Linked DNA regions of Xenopus tropicalis. The main gene of each other region encodes a partner of the protein of the gene in region 2 in a complex. Links are inferred from orthologs where the notes say so. Each region holds a gene or a part of one and is shown on either strand. Other genes may lie near its edges.

Region 1 (6,461 bases), on a different chromosome or scaffold from region 2:
CCAACTTCTTTTTTTCTTTCCTTTCCTCCCCTCTTCTTTCTATCCTATTCTATTGTTGTTAAAAATCAATAAAAACCAACCTTTAAAAATAAATAAATAAATAAATAAAAAAAAAATGATATGACAAAAAATAAAGTAAGGCAAACATTAAAAAGTTAGCTATCCAATATATATGCCAGGAAGTGCAGGCAAATACAGTCTATTGGAGTGGTATTTTAACCTTCCCTCATCAGGTATCGTAGTTCAGTGCCCTGAAATGAATCAATTTATTTTCCTGTGCCACCACCACAAAAAGTTAGATAACTTTATACTAGCACATGAAAAACTTGTTTTCTTTGTTTGCTTACTGTTGGGGCCTTGTTAATGGCCTGATTTGTTCTTTTCCTAAAATTATTCAATACACTTTTGTGGCTGGGTTTATTTTGTAAACTTAAAACAACAGCTTCTACCTGAATGTGCCCCATTGACTTTTAAATGATAATTCATAACTTTGTGTAACTAGGGGCCCCTGACCAAAGTTCCCTCTATATTTCCCCGATGGCAGCCCTACCTTTATAACTTTATGTAATGGATGATCCCGAGTCACGATGTATGATGCTAATTTACATGTAATGACAACAGCAAAGCTTTTTAAATATGCTATCATCCTGACTACGGTGTTCTGGTGATCAAAATAAGTTGTGTGCATTCTAAATATGTGAATTATTTTATATTTGCTTTATACTTTTATAATTATGTATTATATGAGTAAATGTAGAATAAGCGGCCTCATTGTAATGGCAAACTTTTAGAGAGTGCTAGGGTGAAGTTCACCAGAGAGAAATTTCACAGCTCTGTATTCACTTGCAATGATATATGGGGGGAGTGTTTATGAAAAAATAAACTTCTTAGTGTCAAGCCTTGACAAACATGCCTTAGAAAAAGCTCCTATACATGTGAGAGTGTGAAATGTGGCAAACTATTTTTACCCTTTGTAAAAATATACCCCTTGCTAGCCTATTTTGTTTCACTCCTGAGGCTTAGCTCATTTGGGCCAGAATCTATCTCCTTGTTGTTACCCAAGTGATTCTGTAAAACTTCAACTTCCAACGTTGCCTTGCGGTACTGGTCGTCTACTGAGCCTGAGGGGGGAAAAATCCATTAGAATTATGGCATAAATCCAAAAAAAAGACATAAGAACTGAACTACAAATACTTATAAATCTACGATGAAGAGAGTCTCATTTCTCTTACTTGTTCCATTCTTTGTTTTCTTCCCCTTTTTCTTTTGAGATTTTCCCTTCTGCTTTGGTGGCATATCTATAAAAGAGATATAATAGTCTGAGTCATAGGATTGAAAGATGCAAAGGCACAAGAAGAAAATAATTTTGGAGAAAAAAACTACCATGTGCCCCTTGAAAGGTTCATGTGGAATTTCAATCCTGCAAACTAATACATACTAATAATTGCCAATGCACAAATTATGGCCTATGTAAAATATTAAATTAATATTGAAAAATTAGCACCACACATCCCCCAAAATATTTAAGTTTACTTGTCACACTAAGGCCCCTCATTATATGTGAGTTCTTCACTGCCTTATTTTATTGTAAAACCATGTTCTCTTACCCTTAGCACAGGAACACTAGTGAGACTAGTAGGGAAGGACCCCACCTAACATAACTATACACCTATGAATGAAGACTATATAAATAGCAAACAAATCTTAACATGTATGACCACCTTAACAAAATTAACTGAAATAGCTTAAGGCCATGGTACTAAATATAATTCAAGATGATGACAGATGTGCTACTTGTTCCATATTATTGCTAAATCATTTATAATTTAGATGACTAGATTAATGTTTACAAACTGTCCAGTAAATTAGTACAACAGATCACACAGAATATTGGAGAATATTGCCTTGAGCTCCACACACTGGGAAATCTGCGGGTGCACATCAAGGCTCTTTGCTGTCCAAGAAGGCAGATCTGATGCTTCCAACCCCTTATGTTTCCATCACCTGTACATACATTTTCTTCTCTCAGACTGGGTATTGGTCAGCGGAGATTGCAGTTGCATGTAAATGGAGAAAGCTATTGGGAATTCTCCATGTAAAATTACAGGAGTATTTTTTGCCACCCCTGGAAAAGGAGAGACTTCTCACCTTGCCTTATGGCAAAAGGACCCATGGAAACTTGTGTCCACTGGATGCAGTTTAGAGGATTTGTACCCGGTTTTTAACTGAATCTGAATCCTTGAAATACAGGGCTGGTGGCAACCCTACAGCACAACAATACTTAAATGCAAAGAATTTCACTGGACTATAATAATTATAATTGATTTTTTTGTGCAAGACATAAGTACACTATATATATATATGTTTGTGTTTATATATACTATGGGGCACATTTACTAACCCACGAACGGGCCGAATGCGTCCGATTGCGTTTTTTTCGTAATGATCGGTAATTTTGCGATTTTTTCGTATTTTACGATTTTTTCGTAAAAACGCGAGTTTTTCTTAGCCATTACGAAAGTTGCACAAAGTCGCGATTTTTTCGTAGCGTTAAAACTTGCGCGAAACGTCGCGCCTTTTAAGTTTTAACGCTACGAAAAAGGCGCGACTTTGCGCAACTTTCGTAATGGCTACGAAAAACTCGCGTTTTTACGCAAAAATCGTAAAGACGCTGAAAAAATCGAAAAAAATACGAAAAAATCACAAAATTACCGAAAAAGTCGCAAAAAAAATGTTCATTTCCAATCGGAATTTTTCCAATTTGGATTCGAAATCGTGTCTTAGTAAATCAGCCCCTATATGTATAACACAGAAGTGCCATGAATATCATATAATTATATCCTTAAAAATTATGCTTAGTGATGGCATCAGTTATAACGATGCTTAATGATGTAATTTCTGACACATGGCTCACTGAAACTTGTGTATTTATAATAACTAAATGTATCCACTGTTGTAAAATAAGAGGATATAAGAACTCATGGTCACGAAACTCCTCTGTGGAATGGCTATCCTTATATTTTAAAAAAGAGGGTACATTATTCACTATATATATGTGTGTGTGTGTGTTAAGCAATATTATAGTAAAAATCAGACAGTGAAAAATGTTGCATTGTATTAATAAAAATAGTTTGGACACCAATCTAGTGCTCATTTATGAACAAAAGTGCAATGCTCTAGGAACAAAAATGTATATGCCAGTATAATAGTTGGCACTCAAAGAACAGCATGCTCTTCAGCTTGTGATTTACCACGGCAGGTTTATATTAGAAAACATTTGGATTCGGTTCAGCCAGGAGTGTGGATTTGGCCGAATCTTGGCTGAATCCCTAACTGAATCCTGGATTTGGTGCATCCCTAGAAATTAGTTTTGTGTGTTGATGTAACATGTAAAGAAGTCCTAAAAGTAACACCTCCTCAACTTCTGTATAGTTGCGCCAAGCACCACTGTGTCATTCCTCATCCTGCTTATTGTGATGAACCAAAGTGCAATAGAATTGTGACAAAAGAACTAAACACTAACGTAATTTTAATGCTGACTCTCGGAAGTGATGCAATCCTAACTCTTAAAAAATGTTAGCTGCACTGCTCAATTCTGTTTGTTTTGACACAGCATGTGCAAGTTGCTGTGTGCCCACAATTAAGTTTGAATTAAAAAACATGGTGATTTGCATCAAAAACTGCACGCTGAACTTAAGGTTGTAAATGACCTCTTACATTTCAATCCATTGCAAAGTAGTTTTGCAGCATTGCATAGTTAGGAGCCATTCAACCCTGCTCTGTATGCTTATCATAAGATATCCTATATCTGATTACCTTTCGTTGCAAACTGATTATTTTCTGATTCTGTCTCTCATTAGATGCAGGTATCCAGTCAGGCCTAGAGCAACACTGAAGAGCCTGAGGATAGTGGAGACATAGCAACTGCAGGGGCTGCCCATGATAACGATGCCATCTTCCTTTTCCACATGCTGCCTTTCCAAATACGCAACTCTATAACATACTGTATTTTAAACAGCAAATATCAGCAAGTGGCCCTTACCTGCAATGAATCCTGTTCAGCAGAACAACAAAGTGATATTCACTGAGAAATGCTTACCCAGCAGGAAGACACTTTAAGATCCTGCCCACAAACCTTGCCCAGCCGATTCAGAGAGAATTGTATACAAAAGGTTGCTAGGTTTCTGTAATGGTAACAAAAGATGTATAACAACAAGGTACCGGTAAATCTCTGAGAAGAGACAAAAACAAGAAATTTGTTAATGCAAATCACCTTAATAAAAAGAACAAAACAAAACATATTAAAGATTCAGAGTCTGAACTTAAAGGTAATCTATACCCGTAAAATGTTTTTTGTATAATGAAATAAAAAACATCTCTATGCTATCCTACACTCCCAGCTTTCCATTATGTGTGTATAAGGTATTTATAGTAGAAATATCATTTTCAGTAGCAATGACATTTACAAATAACTTTAAGGGTTCTGGCACACGGGGAGATTAGGGCGACTAATCTCCCCATGTGCCAGAGCCCTAAGACCGCTGAACATTTGAAATGTAATGTATAATGTAAAATTGCTTTAAATTAAATCTTCTTAAATTATGCTAAATGTTTTTGGGTTTAGATCCTCTCTGGGTAAAGACACGTGGAGCTATTTAGTAGCAGCTACTTGTGACGGCTACTAAACCCCAGAAAATACCCTGCCAAAGACAATACTGAGAATTGCCTCTGCTAAACCACACTTAGGGGCACATTTACTAATCCACGAACGTCCGAATGCGTTTTTCCGTAATGATCGGTATTTTCTGCGAATTGTCAAGACTTTTTCGTCGCCGTCACAACTTTTTCACAAATTGTCGTGACTATTTCGTCGCCGTCGCGAAAAAATCGGATTGGTTCAATACGTATTGCTCAATACAAAAAAACCGCGATGGCGACTAAAAAGTCGCACAAAATATGATAGCCGTGACGGCGACGAAAAAATCACGCAAAATACGAAAAAAAAACGCGATGGCGATGAAAAAGTTGCAAGATTTTCATTTCCAATTCGATTTTTTCCCATTCGGGATTCGGATTTGTGGATTAGTAAATGTGTCCCTTAGAGACAATTATCAGTAAATGATCAGTATTGGTTATTCCTGTAGCCATGTCAAGTAGCTGATACTAGGCGCTCTGAGTGTCTTCAACCTTACAATGAATTTTACAGAACCTTCAGTATAAGACTGCTTACATGTGTGCAAAAAAACAGGTGTAACTACTGAGGAAGCAGATGCTGTGGTTGCAGGGGGGCCCAGTAGTGTAGAGGGCCCAATAAGTCATTCATTAATGAGAAAAGGTAAACTTACCAAAGTTTTGGAGTCCTAAACTGTGTGCACACTTGGAAATAAGGCAGCACATTTATTATACTATTTTGGCTTACTAATGCCATATATATTATAAAATTGCTTCATATCTTTTTGTACAGAAACATTGGTTGTACTGAGAACCATTACGTGTTATTGGTTTCTCTGCTTCTCACCAGGGAACAACTGTAAACCACACTGACGTGCAGTGTGAAAAAAACAATTTTAGACAAAAGTCGCGGTGTACTTTACTTACAATGCAGAACACCAGAAATGAAGCCAGCAAAGAGAACTGTTTAAAATTGCACTTGACTCACTGCACTTGTGGATGTACATGAGCCCTTAGGTGTAGGCAATGCAACTGCCATGTTTTTTTCCAACAATGCAGCATTTTTTCCTGTAATTCTGGCGTCACTGCAGTTGCAAAGGGGTGATTCTCTTGACACAATTGCAATGCACCTACCACAATTGTATAAGAAGGCACAGCAGCGCCTGATTCAGAACGCAAGGCAGAAGAGTGGTACCTAGCACAACTATACAGGACTGCAAGGAGTGCATTTAGGCTGACTGCAGGGATATTGCATTGACCTCAACTTTTGTGGATTTAGGCAACTTGTCATTTCTTATCCAGCAAAGCAAACTGGTTTTTACCTTTAGCAGTGCTTATGAGGTGCTGTGAATATTATGGAAAAAAAATTGTTTTTTTTTCCTGAGTAGAATTTCTCTCCTTCCATGATTGCAATAAATAAATATAAAGAATAGATACGTGTTGAACTCATGTTTACTTAGTTACAGTTCGAAGAATCCCTTAATGCTAGGAGCTGTTGTTGAACAAGCTGGAAACCTACATGTTATTATTACACATTACAACACCACACTTTAAGTAAAGGGGCTGCAACTAATGGGAATTTACAAAAAAAGGTTAATTTTACTGCAGCGTAATGTCCTACACAAAGCAACCAGGCTTTTGTTTTATAGCACTGGTGGCACATGCAGAATGGTTTCATTCTATTAGGCCAGTTTCTGATTAACTAAATTGCAACCTGCATGTGTAGTGGCTTCCAAATGAAGAAAATGCCCCAACAAAAGAAAACATTAAAAAAGCAGAGTGGTAAAAAT
Region 2 (5,728 bases):
AAGAAGCATATTTGCAATTAAAATTTTTTTTTTACAGTTTCTTTTAAATAACCGGTTCTGTGCAGCTGACTTCATTTCTTGTCTCCTCTTCCTCCTGAAGCTGTGTACAGGAATCCTTTCCCGGCTGGCCAGCCAGACTAGAAAGAAAGATATCAGTGCTGCTCTGCATTCTGCAAGGGCAGGGAAGCAGAGTGGGGTTGTCTGCTCTAGCTATACGCATTAAAGGAATAGTTAAGGAAAGTATAGCAGTAGTTAGCATTGTTATAGTTGCTCTATGAGCGAGAGGCAGAATTAGGCTATTTAGAAGGGCATCTCAAGGCCCCAACAAGGAGGATAGAGGGTTAGTATCATTGTGGTGTAAAGACCGCTAGCACAGGAACATAAGTGGCCTAGCTTAGGGTAGAAAGGTTGCTCTGTGAGCAAGATATCACTGCAAGCCCTTTTCTGCTGAGTGTAGGATCACCAAGACAGGCAGTACTGCTTCTAAGGAGGAAGTTTATTAGATGTGTCTCACCAGTGAGGGGTACCATCAATTGGGAAAAGTATTGAGTGAGTACCAAATTTCTTTTATAATTGTTACAATTGCTGGATAGCAGCCTGCTTTGGATAACAAAGAAGTTAATTTGTCTGAAGCAACCCCTGGATTGCTGTTATTTTCACACCTTGACAATCTATCTAAGAGTAAAGGGATAAAATAATATCATTATACAGTGTGGGGAGTTCTGGGAGTTTCCCACAGCCCAGGGGTACACTGTCAGTGTATCACACTTTTAGACGCTCTTTCAGGTGTGCTACATATATAAACACAAGTCCCTGCATGCAGCCATATAACTATATAAATGTCAGTGGAGCTTTGTTTGGTGCTCCTGCATTTATAAGAGGGAACATATAATTTTAACAGATCATAATCCAAAAAGGCATAAATGTGCAGTGGTGTTGATGCTTTTAATTCAGATCACAGCACTATAAATAAATGACACTTATACAGAGCTAGCAATAAACATTTCTTAAGGTACTTTGTAATTCATCAAGCTTGTCAAGCAGTACAATACTTACTTAAAATACAGCTTCTGCAGATTGTTGATATAAAATGAGTAAGCTTTCTTGAGTAATTCTGAAGACACCTGCAATATAAAATATAGGAAAATTAAGAAATGGAAATCTTCCAGTTTATATGCTTTAAATGCTTGATTGCTATATAAATTTGAGACACAAAACTAAAATGTGACTGCACCCTCTAGTGAAAATAAAGAGAAGTTGAAACTAAGATGTAAGACATACAGGGCCGCCTGTTACTTACCAGTTGATCTTCATCTCTTCCAAAAAGATATTCTAGATAGCTTCCTGTCATTGCCTTAAATTTAGGTTTTTTTGCTTCTTCTATAAATGCATCCCTGTTGGATAATTAATGACATTGAATGCTTAATCTGGCAAAATAAATTACTAAAACCAGTTCTTGAGATCTTAAAAACTGTGACACACGAGATTTGTCGCCCCGTAAATAATTTCCTCTATTGGTGGTGACTAATCTCTTCTAATGCTTTCATATTGGCAATAATGTAAATTGGCGGTAGAAAATACATATGTTTTGCCTCAGATTTCCAAAGTTGCCTGAAGTTTCCTTGCGAAAGCCAAAACAACGCATATGTTTTCCTACTGGCAATTTATGTTCTTCTTGGTAGGAGAGCTTGTCAGGTAAATTAGGAGAGCTTATTGCATGTTCTGAAAATTATGATATAATTGGTATCACTGAGACCTGGTGGGATGAAATTTGTGACTGGGCTGTGAATTTAAATGGTTACACCCTATTTATGAAGGATATAGGGATTAGAGATGGTAGAGGAGTTTGTCTGTATGTAAAACCAGAATTAAAGCCTTGCGCTAAAACATTTACCAGGAACAGCAGTGGGGAGGGTGTTAAATCCCTTTGGGTAGATTTTTCAGCAGGGCTTAAGGTTACAAAGAAACTTATCATTGGTGTATGGTTTAAACCTCTCCGTATAAATGAGGAGAATGAAGCCCAGCTGCTATAATAAATTTAGGAGGACTCACAACTAGTCAAGTTGTTATTATGGGCGACTTTAATTATCCAGAGATTGACTGAAGTAATGGGGTGGCCAAGCAGAAAAAGTTAGCAGGTTTGTAAACATGCTAAATTACAACTTTTTATTTAAGGCAGTTCAAGAACCTACTAGAAAATATTCTCTTTTGGACCTGGTAATAACTAATAAAGCAGAACTTATCTCTAGCATTTATGTGGGTAAGCATTTAGAGAAAAGTGGTCATAACATGGTCTCCTTCGAGATTATGTTGCAAAGACAGCTCTATAAGGGAGTGACTAAAATTTTAGATGTGCAATATTTCTCAGTATAAGGGTATATCTGCAACATATTAACTGGGAAAGGATTTTCACAGGGTTAAACACAGAAGGAAAATTATATATCTTAAAAATGTTGTGTAAGTATATATGTCATTATCATCCCCTTGTAAGCAAGGAGAGACATTGCAAAGCAAAACCTTTATGGGTTGATAAAAGTGTTAGTGTCAAGGTTGGTAAGAAAAAATGTTCAAAATTCAAGTTAGCTGCACTTTCATCAAGCACAAGGAAGCCAATAAAGCATGTAAAAAAACAAGCAATGAGATGGGAATGGTTATTGCAGCAGGAGTAAAATGAATCCAGAATTATTTTTTAAATAAGTAAATAGTAAAATAAATGAAGCAAGAAAAGGTGGGACCCTTGTTATCACAGGGGAGTCAGTCGGTTGATGAGAACAGGGGAAAAAGCAAAAATTCTGAACTCTTATTTTCTTTAAAGGACAAGGAAAGGCAAAGTCACTTGGGGGTGCCAAAATGTTAGGCACCCCCAAGTGACTTTAATCGTTTACCTTGTACCCCGGGCTGGTGCTCCTGTTAGGAGAAAACAGCACCAGCCCGGGGTACCTGGAGCGATGCGCTTCCTCCTCCCTTCCGACTTCTCTGTTAAAGTTCGGCTTTTCACTGTACTGCGCATGCACGCGCTCGCGAACCAGGAAGAAGGAAGCGCTGCAACTACCCCGGGCTGGTGCTGTTCTCTCCCAACAGGGGCACCAGCCCGGGGTAAAAGATAGGCGATTAAAGTCACTTGGGGGTGCCTAACATTTTGGTACCCCCAAGTTACTTTGCCTTTCCATGTCCTTTAACCCTTTTACTGCCAGCCATTTTGGTCAAAGCGGAACTTGTATTGCCAGACAGTTTTTGAACATTTTGCACTGTTTCACTTTAGGGGCCTTTCCTCGGGGGGACTTTTAGTTTACCCAGGAAAACAATATATCGTTTTTTTCAGAACAACCTAAGCTTTCAAAATATGGTAGAATTTTTGTGTAATTCCAATTCTGTAACAAGATATAGGCTTCTAAATGTCTAAAAATGCAAAAAAAAATCAAATTTTCCATAATATAATCACACATACTAGAAACAAAAATTATTTTATGCACGAATATACAACTGATTTGGAAAGTCCCATGTCTCCTGAACGTGCCAATACCAAATATATATAGTTTTATGGAGATTTCTCACTTGTATAGGTCAAAAACTCCCAGCAGTACACTACCAAATTTCCAAAGCACTACTCCAGAAAGCTGCATACTTTAGATTTCAAGGCCAAAAATTCCACTAACAGAAGGTTTATCCCAGAAAATTGTACATTTTTGGAAAGAACAGATTCTGGGGAATACAGAATAGGCACAATGCTTTCCTAAAGTTATTGGTTTTTATCAGAATTTGTGATTTTTTTAAAAAATCGCTTCAAAGCTTCCAGTCTATAGTATCTTATCTCCTACAGGTCATAAAGTAACCAAATAAAACACCCTAAATATGAACGCCAGGGGTCCACTGAACAGTTTGATGCCCAATATGTATAGGTTTACTTAAGTATGTGGCATGTAGGGGCCCCAATGTGAACATACCCCATATGTACTGTCATTTCTGTCATTTCAGCTCCTGCAAAATCAACACATTTACATCATTATATGTGGGATAAAGCTAGTAAAAAGTACGCTCACCCCAGAAAGTCATATATTTTTGGAAAGTACACATTCCCCCGAATCTAAAATGGGTAACCATGTCTTTCTACTCCAAAGTACCAAGCCGCACAGCTTTTCTAAAGTTAGCAATTTTGATGACATTTCCAAAAATCCCCTCAAAGCTTCCACTTTGCAGCATCTTATCTCCCACATAGCATTAGTTACCAAGATAAAACACCCTGAATTTGAACACCAGGGGTCCACTGAACAGTTTGATGCCCAATATGTATAGGTTTACCTAAGTATGTGGCATGTAGGGGCCCCAATGGGAACATACCCCCATATGTACTGTCATTTCTGTCATTTCAGCTCCTGCAAAATCAACACATTTACATCATTATATGTGGGATAAAGCTAGTAAAAAGTACGCTCACCCCAGAAAGTCATATATTTTTGGAAAGTACACATTCCCCCGAATCTATAATGGGTAAACATTTCTTCTTGCTTCAAAGCACCAAGCTGTAAAGCTTTCCTAAGTTTGCAGATTTATATGACATTTCGAAAATCTCATAAAAATGTTGCAATTTGCCGCATTTATCTCTCACAATTTCTTGATAAAAATCAGATAAAGACAAATCACCCCAAATAGGAACACCTATGGTCTACTGAACAGTTTGATGCCCAATATGCATAGATATACCAAAGTCTGCGGTATGTACTGAACCCAAAATGAAAATAGCGCATAAGGATTTCTCGCCTGCCAACTCAGCTTTTGCACACAGAGCCCCCTGACAGTGTATTATGTGCCAAAACTTCCCCTAACTATACAGAGACCCCCACAAAACCATATATTTTTGGAAAGTACACATTCTGACAAATCCAACAAGGGTAAAGAGTCCTTTCTACACCAAAGTACCAATCTGCAAAGCTTTCCTAAAGTTATTGGTTTTTATGACATTTCAGAAAATCGCCTAAAAATGTTGCAATTTGCCGCATTTATCTCACACAATTTCTTGAGTACAAAGGCAAGTCACCCCAAATAGGAACACCTAAGATCTACTGAACAGTTTGATGCCCAATATGCATAGATATACCAAAGTCTGTGGTGTGTACTGACCCCAAAACGAAAATAGCGCATATGGATTTCTCGCCTGCCAACTCAGCTTTTGCACACAGAGCCCCCTGTCAGCGTATTATGTGCCGAAACGTCCCCTAACTATACAGAGACCCCCAGAAAACCATATATTTTTGGAAAGTACACATTCTGATGAATTCAAAATAGGCAAAGTTATTTTTGTATACCAAAGTTACACCTGGCAAAGCTATGCTAAAAACAGATTAGGAACACTTATACAGGGATAAAATGTGATAAAACCACAAAAATTGTGCAAATCAGTGAAACAACAAAATAAGTCACATGACAGTGTAATTAGTGGTCAGAATATCTAATCTAATAGTCACGCTGTCAAAATAAACAGTTTTTAGGTAAAATAAACTAAAAACAAAGTGGTAAAATGAAAAAAAAAAAAAAAAAAAACCCAAAGTGTTTGTGTATACATGTGTAAAAGTTGTGTGATAGTGTGTAAGTGTGTATATGAGTGTATAAAAGTGTGAAAAATTAAAAAAAAAAAAAAATTGCTAAAATGTGTGCTGTAAGTGTGTGTAAATGTATGTAAGTGTGTATAAATGTATGTAAATGTGTGTCTAAGTGTGTAAATGCAAGAATA

The links.
Region 1: fbxl13 (region 2) and ccdc153 share a complex: the UniProt entries of both Homo sapiens proteins name them as parts of the nexin-dynein regulatory complex. The link is inferred for Xenopus tropicalis from reciprocal best matches to the Homo sapiens genes FBXL13 and DRC12.

The regions. Positions count from the first base shown.
Region 1 is NC_030683.2:80,325,464-80,331,924, reverse strand, and holds the start of ccdc153 (coiled-coil domain-containing protein 153), read right to left. Parts: upstream 4,232-6,461; 5' UTR 4,043-4,231; intron 3,993-4,042; exon of another isoform or gene 3,817-3,992; intron 1,299-3,816; 5' UTR 1,297-1,298; coding exon 1,233-1,296; intron 1,122-1,232; coding exon 1,059-1,121; intron 1-1,058. UniProt on the Homo sapiens protein: Component of the nexin-dynein regulatory complex (N-DRC), a key regulator of ciliary/flagellar motility which maintains the alignment and integrity of the distal axoneme and regulates microtubule sliding in motile axonemes.
Region 2 is NC_030679.2:77,929,274-77,935,001, reverse strand, and holds part of fbxl13 (dynein regulatory complex subunit 6), read right to left. Parts: intron 1,395-5,728; coding exon 1,301-1,394; intron 1,125-1,300; coding exon 1,057-1,124; intron 1-1,056. UniProt on the Homo sapiens protein: Substrate-recognition component of the SCF (SKP1-CUL1-F-box protein)-type E3 ubiquitin ligase complex.